Linked DNA regions of Oryzias latipes. The protein of the gene in region 1 binds, or shares a complex with, the protein of each later gene. Links are inferred from orthologs where the notes say so. Each region holds a gene or a part of one and is shown on either strand. Other genes may lie near its edges.

The links. Proteins that work in one complex are often made in the same cells at the same time.
Region 2: pole (region 1) and pole4 share a complex: the UniProt entries of both Homo sapiens proteins name them as parts of the DNA polymerase epsilon complex. The link is inferred for Oryzias latipes from reciprocal best matches to the Homo sapiens genes POLE and POLE4.

What each region holds. Positions count from the first base shown.
Region 1 is NC_019867.2:13,286,115-13,289,626, reverse strand, and holds part of pole (DNA polymerase epsilon catalytic subunit A), read right to left. Parts: intron 2,864-3,512; coding exon 2,744-2,863; intron 2,656-2,743; coding exon 2,523-2,655; intron 2,424-2,522; coding exon 2,310-2,423; intron 2,210-2,309; coding exon 1,997-2,209; intron 1,907-1,996; coding exon 1,799-1,906; intron 1,724-1,798; coding exon 1,595-1,723; intron 1,516-1,594; coding exon 1,413-1,515; intron 1,345-1,412; coding exon 1,198-1,344; intron 1,109-1,197; coding exon 963-1,108; intron 853-962; coding exon 704-852; intron 627-703; coding exon 534-626; intron 454-533; coding exon 151-453; intron 41-150; coding exon 1-40. UniProt on the Homo sapiens protein: Catalytic component of the DNA polymerase epsilon complex. Participates in chromosomal DNA replication.
Region 2 is NC_019862.2:30,739,984-30,743,975, forward strand, and holds pole4 (DNA polymerase epsilon subunit 4), read right to left. Parts: upstream 2,759-3,992; 5' UTR 2,587-2,758; coding exon 2,353-2,586; intron 2,217-2,352; coding exon 2,132-2,216; intron 836-2,131; coding exon 794-835; intron 682-793; coding exon 668-681; 3' UTR 511-667; downstream 1-510. UniProt on the Homo sapiens protein: Accessory component of the DNA polymerase epsilon complex. Participates in DNA repair and in chromosomal DNA replication.

The DNA.
Region 1 (3,512 bases):
AAGCTCAGCCAGAGAGCCGTCCTCGTTGAACACAGCATACCTACGGAGAAGATCAGTCACTTTTGATCCGTGCTTTTGTCTTTACCCTCCCCTACAACAAGGAGCAGTTTACAAACCTGTACATTAACTCAGCAGCAACAGCGGCCTCACCTCTTCTTCAGCTTCTTGCCTTCCTCTTTAGAAGCAGGCAGGATCATGGCGAGGTACGGCCCGTCCACCTCAAAAAAGATGCTGTTTTCTGCTCTGGTGTTGTACGTGAGCGAAGCGGGGTCGACCAGCTCGTGGTACTGGTCATTAGTGAATCCCTCCTTCACCATGATGTTCAGCATGGCTCCCGGGTAAGAGATGGTCACCTTGGGCTTCTTCTCGTTGCTGGTCTTCACCACAAAGTTCTCAGGAAAGGTGTTGGGGAGGACACACCAGATGCCATCTGTGTCCAACTCAAGGGGTCTCCTGAGTGGTGGAGAATCATCCCACATGGATGTGACGCCTTTCTCACAAGGAAACGTTGCGTAAATGCCTATGGGACTCACCCAATCTGTTCAATGAGCTCTCTGGCCTGAGTGATGATGTTGGCGCCGGTGTAGCACACGATTCCAGCCATCTCCATGGAATACCAGCGTGCCCTGAAAGACAAAAACAGCAACTTTAAGATGGCAAACATCTCAGAAGCAAATCTGACTATTGTTTAATGACCCCCTACCCTTTCCTCATGACGTAACCATAGAAAGAGTTAAGGATGCACTTATGGGCCAGCTGAAGAGACTCGTACAGGATCTCCATGTTTTTGCAGCGCTTCACCTCTGCAGCATCTCCGCTGTCCTGAGCTGCCGACAGCTTCTTCTTCCACACCTTTAACAAAAAATATATATTAGACAGCCAATAATACAGCACTGAGTAAATCACAACTATGACCATTTAAAGTCCAGATAACTCAACGTGATTTATCTTAGAGAACAAACCTTGTGAAGTCCTTTGAATTCATACCGCCGGTCCCTGAAAGCTCTGACTGTATCGACATAAAAAGAGTTTTCTCTCTGACAGATGGTGGTGACCCGTTGCTCCAGCCTGGTGACGTGCGTCTTCTTATAGGCCTTCTTACAGTAGTCTGGCACAGAGAAAGGACACATCCACTTATGCTTTGGGGTCTGCACAAAACCGAAACCTTAAGCAACAGATGCAAGAGACGGACTATACCCGCCAGACGTTTCTTCTCGTGCTTGGCCTGCTCCTCCCGGTTGAGTGTGTGAAAGGCCCGGGGGGGGCCGTTGGGAAAAAGCGGGGGTAGCTTCTCAGACTCGAGCTGCTGCTGGATGCGGTGAAACTCACTGCGACTTGCAGGCACTGCAGGCAGAATGAAAACATTAAAATAAAGTAATCGTTTTTGATTTCCAGAGTTATGGACAGCTTACTGATTTCCCCTCTCCACTGCCAGGCCATCCTCCTCTGACAGGTCGCACCAGGCTTGTTAAAGTCACAGGCAGCACAGGTGGCTTCATCTACCATAGCAGACGGCTAGGAAAAATTCACACAGAGAAGTGAAACTTAAATCCACACTGCTTTACGGTTTGTACTTTTTAAATATAAACTTTACCTGCAGTCGGTTTGTGAGAATGATGTTGGGGTACATCGCTCCGACGTCGAGATGGTAGATGAGTGGGCATTCAATTCTGTTTGGAACCTCCTTCAAGGAAGTCAGCTTCTCTTTGATCTCATCACAAACCTGACAGAACAGTGATCGGGGCTAAAAAGCACGAACCAGCATGAAGAGAACACCAACTACAAAAGGCCAACACACCTCATTGAAATTAGTAACTTGCTCCAGAGGGATTTTCTCCTCCTCCTCGATAGCATGGCGCATAGTTCTTTCAACTCTTTGCAAAAGGAAGTCAAACGCAGCTGGATTCTGTCAACGAGTCAAGCCAAACTGTTAGTTTTAAAAGAGTCGGACTGTGCCGACAACTGGCAAAAAGGGGTGGAGCAAACATGACAGTACCATTTTAAACCGACAGGGAATGTCGCTGCGAAACACTCCCGACTCCAGCGCCTCCACGTGTCCACCCACGTAGGTCTCCGAATCCAAAACATGGCCGTCATCTGTCAGCTTGTTGAAGGCCTGTTCCTGCTTGTTGGGGAACACGATGTTGGCGTGAAAGGCCTGCACCATGAGCAAGGCTTCACACAGAGTCCCGGAACCTTTCCGGAGCACCTGTTGGCGAACAGACCCAAACAGAAAAAAACTAATCATCAGTAAAATAAACTAAATGTTTGGATTTAAGAGTTCTTTTATGAAAATGCTTCTAACAGACCTCATCAGGCTCCATTGGGATGATTGTGCACAGCGCAAAGATGAAGGGGTGAACATATTTCATATACAAATAGTATGTGGCCACTGCGTCTGACACAGAGTATGTGGCTAAGGTCTGAGGAGAAAAAAGCGGAAAAAATGGTGAAAAAAGAAAAGAAATTAAAAATCTATTTAATTTTAAAACTTTCCCTGGTTCTTTTTTTTTTTTAAATACCTGCGGCTCTTCCGTTGCCATTCGGCACATTTCCTCTGGATCCAGCTCAACTGGGTCATAACCCAACTTAGCTTTTGCCGCTGCCTTCAGATTGTGACTCCCCACGGGTAAGTAGCTGTCTCTTTTTACCCACCTGATACATTGAAACAGGAGAAAGTGGTGATAAATCTGTATAATTAAAAATACCGTTCAATATGATACTGTGTCGTTTGTGTTGACACCTTAAACAGTCCATGTGGATTGCCTGGCTGGACTTGTACTCTCCTTGGCTGTCCTTCTGGAAACCGATCTCTCTGTGCATGTTGAGTCCATGGACGGCAGCTCGAGTCTCAACAAAAGGCCTAGAGAGAAAAAAACAAGTCAAAATGATTTGCATTAAAAGTTTTAGTTGCCTATTTTCTTCCATTTTTAAAAACTAAATTCAGATGAAACATCAGATCTTCTTATAATCGGAGTGTTACACGACACTAAAAATCACACCAAAAACCAGATTGTAGAATGTTCTGTGCATATCATGGCGAGGCTTCGTAAACGAAGATTATGAAGAGGGCTGTCCACGTCTTCTACAAGCTCGCTCGTGGCTGAGCAATCCAATATGGGAAAGGCAGATCCTGTAGCAGAGGCTGCAGGTGAAAGTCTGTTCTGGATTCGGTGCAGTCGTGAGGCCGGCTATTCTCATTTGCCGTTTGTCTTTTAGCCTAGTCCGTCGCTTGTCTTCAAAAGAGGAGACAGCGTCTTTGATGTACTGGCGCCAGGTGTCACGGTCTTTTGCCAAAGTAGACCACTGACGATGGTTGATGTTACAAGCACCAAGGGATTTCTTAAGAGAGTCTTTGTATCTCTTTTTTGGTGCCCCTTTATCTCGCTGGCCTGATGCAAGTTCGCCATACAGAGTGATCCTTGGCAGTCGGTGGTCCTCCATCCTGTGTACATGCCCAGCCCACCGCAGTTGCGACTTAAGAAGCATGGCCTCTATGCTTTGGATGTCTG
Region 2 (3,992 bases), on another chromosome or scaffold:
AGTTTTATCTATATCTATCATTTTGTGTGTTTTCTTAAGTTTTTGTTTCCTTGAAATGAACCAATTCCCATTTTAAAAACAAATATTCCAATATTTCAGGACTTTACTCTGAAGTCAAAAACTATGACGGCCTGTTTATTTCACATAAACATGTATGTTCTCAGCCCAAATATACTTTCGACTCACAATAGCTAATATAAAGTACTGGCATCCAAGGATCCAGCGTCCATAAAACATAAAGGTTTAGGTGTTTACAGTTTAGATTTGAACCCTTTTAGGAAGTTTTTAGTTGTTTCTTTCCGAAAACACAAACTTATCAAGGAAATGAATCAGAATCATGTTGTGACTGTCTGAAAATACAAACCTGTTGTTTTCTTTTCTTTTTATAAAATGTTCAAGAATTTAATTCCTTCAAACTTTATTAATCAAAACGATTCTAAATGTATTTTAAGATGCTGGCAACCAACCTTACCCACAATGCAGCAAGGAATGACTTTAGAAATAAACCGGTAGTTTCAAACGCATTTATTTCAGTGAATTTAGCAAAAATATTTACACAACAGTGTACATATGTACGAGTCCTTAAGCAGAAGAGCTTTTTGTCTCTGCACAAACGGACCGGAGGAAGTCGCTCGCTCGCTCGCGCCGCCCGTCAAGCCGGTCGTCTCTAGTCCAGCGTGCCTGCAGAGAAAAAAATGATACAGTTACCGGATGCACAAACATGTCAATGAAATGTTCCTGTGCACACGCTGTCAGTAACATGCATGTGCAGAAAGAACGTGGGTTTTTTTACCTTCAAGAAATGCAAACTCGTCTACGGCCTCTATTGCGTTGTCTGCAGGGACAACAAAACAACAACAAACGAATGAAACTCAGGAGGAGAAACCACTGAAGTTTGTCAAATGAAACACAAAAAAGAAACTAAATATGTTTGAATTTTAATGAATTTAATGTTCATTTGTTTATTCTACTGTCCCACTCCGATCATCTGTTGATCCATTTTCAAAACCGTCTTTCAATTATAATGATGCCGTTTTTTGTTTGTTTGTTGTTTCGTGGACATATTTTCTGTAGAGTGGCAGGAGTTCAGTAGAAATTCACCTGCGAGTTGTGGGCGGGGCCTTGGGCCATAGCAACCCATTCCCTAACCGTGTCTGAGAGTTCTCTGTTTACATACTCTCTTACATACAGCCCCTCAACCTAGCATGAGCGGTGCAACAGAAATGGCGAGCGATATTGGAGCCATCCAGAGTTTGGAGCCAGATGTGTTCTGTAGATGTTTGTTACTGACAGTGAAGAAGCGCCGCTCAGTCTTACGCCGCTCTTGTTAGCATGTTCTTTATGTCATGGTTATCTGAACAACTGTTCATATGTTTCACTAATTTGAATAGATTCCTCCTATTTGTCATCAAACTAAATACTTTTACAGTAGTGAAGTTGTAAATATTCAGTCTATACCTGCTATTTATTTTAAGATGAAATGTCTGGTATTTTTTACCGTGTTTTGTTAAATTAATTTCTCCCCAAAGTGCGACTTCTACATAATTATTTCTTCTTTTTTATCATTATTATTTGACTTATACTCTGGTTTGATTTATAGGTTGTTTCTGAATTCCCGCCCTAACCCCTAACTACTAAAAAACTATAGAGCGGCTCTATGTAGTGCCCTGGATTTGAAAAGAAATTCGGAGACCAGGCTCACTGCTTCAAATATCGATTCCACAAAGTTAAAATCTAATTAATATGAGCGTTTTATGACGATTATTTATTATGTCTTCTGAAGATAAAAATGTTGATAGTTTAACAAAAAATACATTTTTTGGCAAAAATCGTTCCGACGCAATGCATTGTGGTCTATATTCGCTGATCTAGTGAGCATTGATGCACGCTGGTTTTTGGCAGAGACTTCTGGGAAATTTCTAGGACTCTGGATTTGGGAGATTGTAGATTCAGACAGCACTACAACATGGCGAATGCGTTATCTGGTGAGTAGGGAAGGAATTTGGACACAACCTACAATTCCAAACTCCAGTGCCCTAGAAACTTCCCAGAAGTCTCTGCGAAAATGATGCTCACTAGTTCGGCAAATATCGAGCACAATGCAGAGATGTGGAGCGTCCTCAGGCCTTACCCAGGTCCTTCCTCTGCAGAGTTTTCCTCTTCCCTTGCTGGGCGTAAACCAGAGCATCTTTGGCGATCATCTCAACGAACAACTCCTGGTAGGAAGAAGAGAGAAACATCACCATCATCATCATCATCATCATCATCACCTCTGACCATCATAGCATCCCATGGTGCCGTGCGGGGCCGAACCTTCTCCTCGCGGAGCGGGCTGCGGGTTCAGGGACTCACCGTGGCTTTGGCGATGATAAACACAGACTCTTGGCTGGCGAGGGACACGTCTGGGTCGGTTTTCATCAGGGCTTTGATGCGAGCCAGCGGGAGTTTGGACAGGCGGCTGCCGCCGGGTGCGGCGGGACCCGTCTGCTGCTGCTGGCCCCCGTCCCCCGCTTCCACTCCGCGGTTCTCCTCCTCACTCCCGCACCTGTCAGACTCCTGCTCCGTAGAGGAGACGAGCGCTGCCATTGAACGGGGAGTTATTTTCCCCCCCACCAAAAAGTGATCAAAAAACAGACGCGCGGATATTTATTAAGCTTTCTAACTTCATGACAAAGATAAAAGTAACAAACGAAGGCGAACAGCAGCGCGCCAGCATGTGCTTCCGGTCTAGTAGAGGCACTGCATCCCTATTGGTCAGTTTCCTTTGGTCCCGCCAACGCTTTCAAGTCAATGATTGGACAGATTGGACAACAAAGCCGTATGATTGGTCAAACGTGACTGCCACTCAAACAATGTTACCGCCCAACTACCGACAACTCAGTGGCTCAGTCAAATGTTTATCAGCTGTAAGACTCTTTCAAATAAATTTGGTGAATATAATTTAATCTTTTCATTAAGATTAGTAGATAAAAGAAAAAAGTGGGTTAAAAATAAATTAACAAAACACCAATAAACAAAATGTCCACAAGGTGGCAGCAAAGTGAAGCTAAATATAAAGCTGTTAAAAGCAACAATCTAAACAAAGAGAAATTTAAAAATTACTCCCGAAACTACCTGACAAAAACGGTTTGAAAATATCTGGTACTCTTTTCTTTTGATTATTATGTATTTTATTTTTTCATTTAATCTGTTTTTATTTAAAGTTTCCTTACTGTACATTGCCCCTAATTTTGCATACCCAATAAAAAAGTTAAAATGTTGCAAAGAAAACGCAAATTAAGTTTTATGAAAACTGTAAATATTTTTCAATTATGTTGTCAGAAGACATTTCTTTAACTTTTTTTTGGTCATTTTATTGAGCATCTATATTTAAACATGTGTTTTTTACTCAAGAAAAGAAAAAAGACTTTATCAGAACTGCTGTGCTGTTGCCTCTAAACTCTTTACCTTTTTTTAAGAGGAAAGTGTTTTGCAATGAAACAGACTGTATTTAGCCATTTTAATTTCAATTGTATAAACATAAAAATGTTGGTTTTCTGTTGCTCAGACACACAAAATACAATTCTGCAGCCTCTTATTTCCTTTAGAATTATTGTGTATAGAATAATGCTTAGGAAATGACAGATAATATGTTCAAATGCCAATATTAGAAACAAGAAACTTTGCAGTTGTTTTTTTTAACTTTGCACTCCGAAGAGCTCCGCCCTGCAGGCTGTTAACGACACTGCATTTGATTGCTATACATGGGGGCTGCAGGTAGATATAACTTCTCCTCAACTTTGGGGTCTAATTTAAAAATATGTTTAAAAATATATATTCGCTTGATTTATTCCTTTTTAATTTTTTTTGTAAAGAAAATAAATGACGAGGACAGAAACCCCTTTTCTCATTTTTCCCATTTTTTAAATTTAAAACCAAAAAAGAAATGTATATAATTTCTTTAAATGATGTAATGTTTTTTTCACATGTTTTTCTTTTGCTGCGGATGTTTT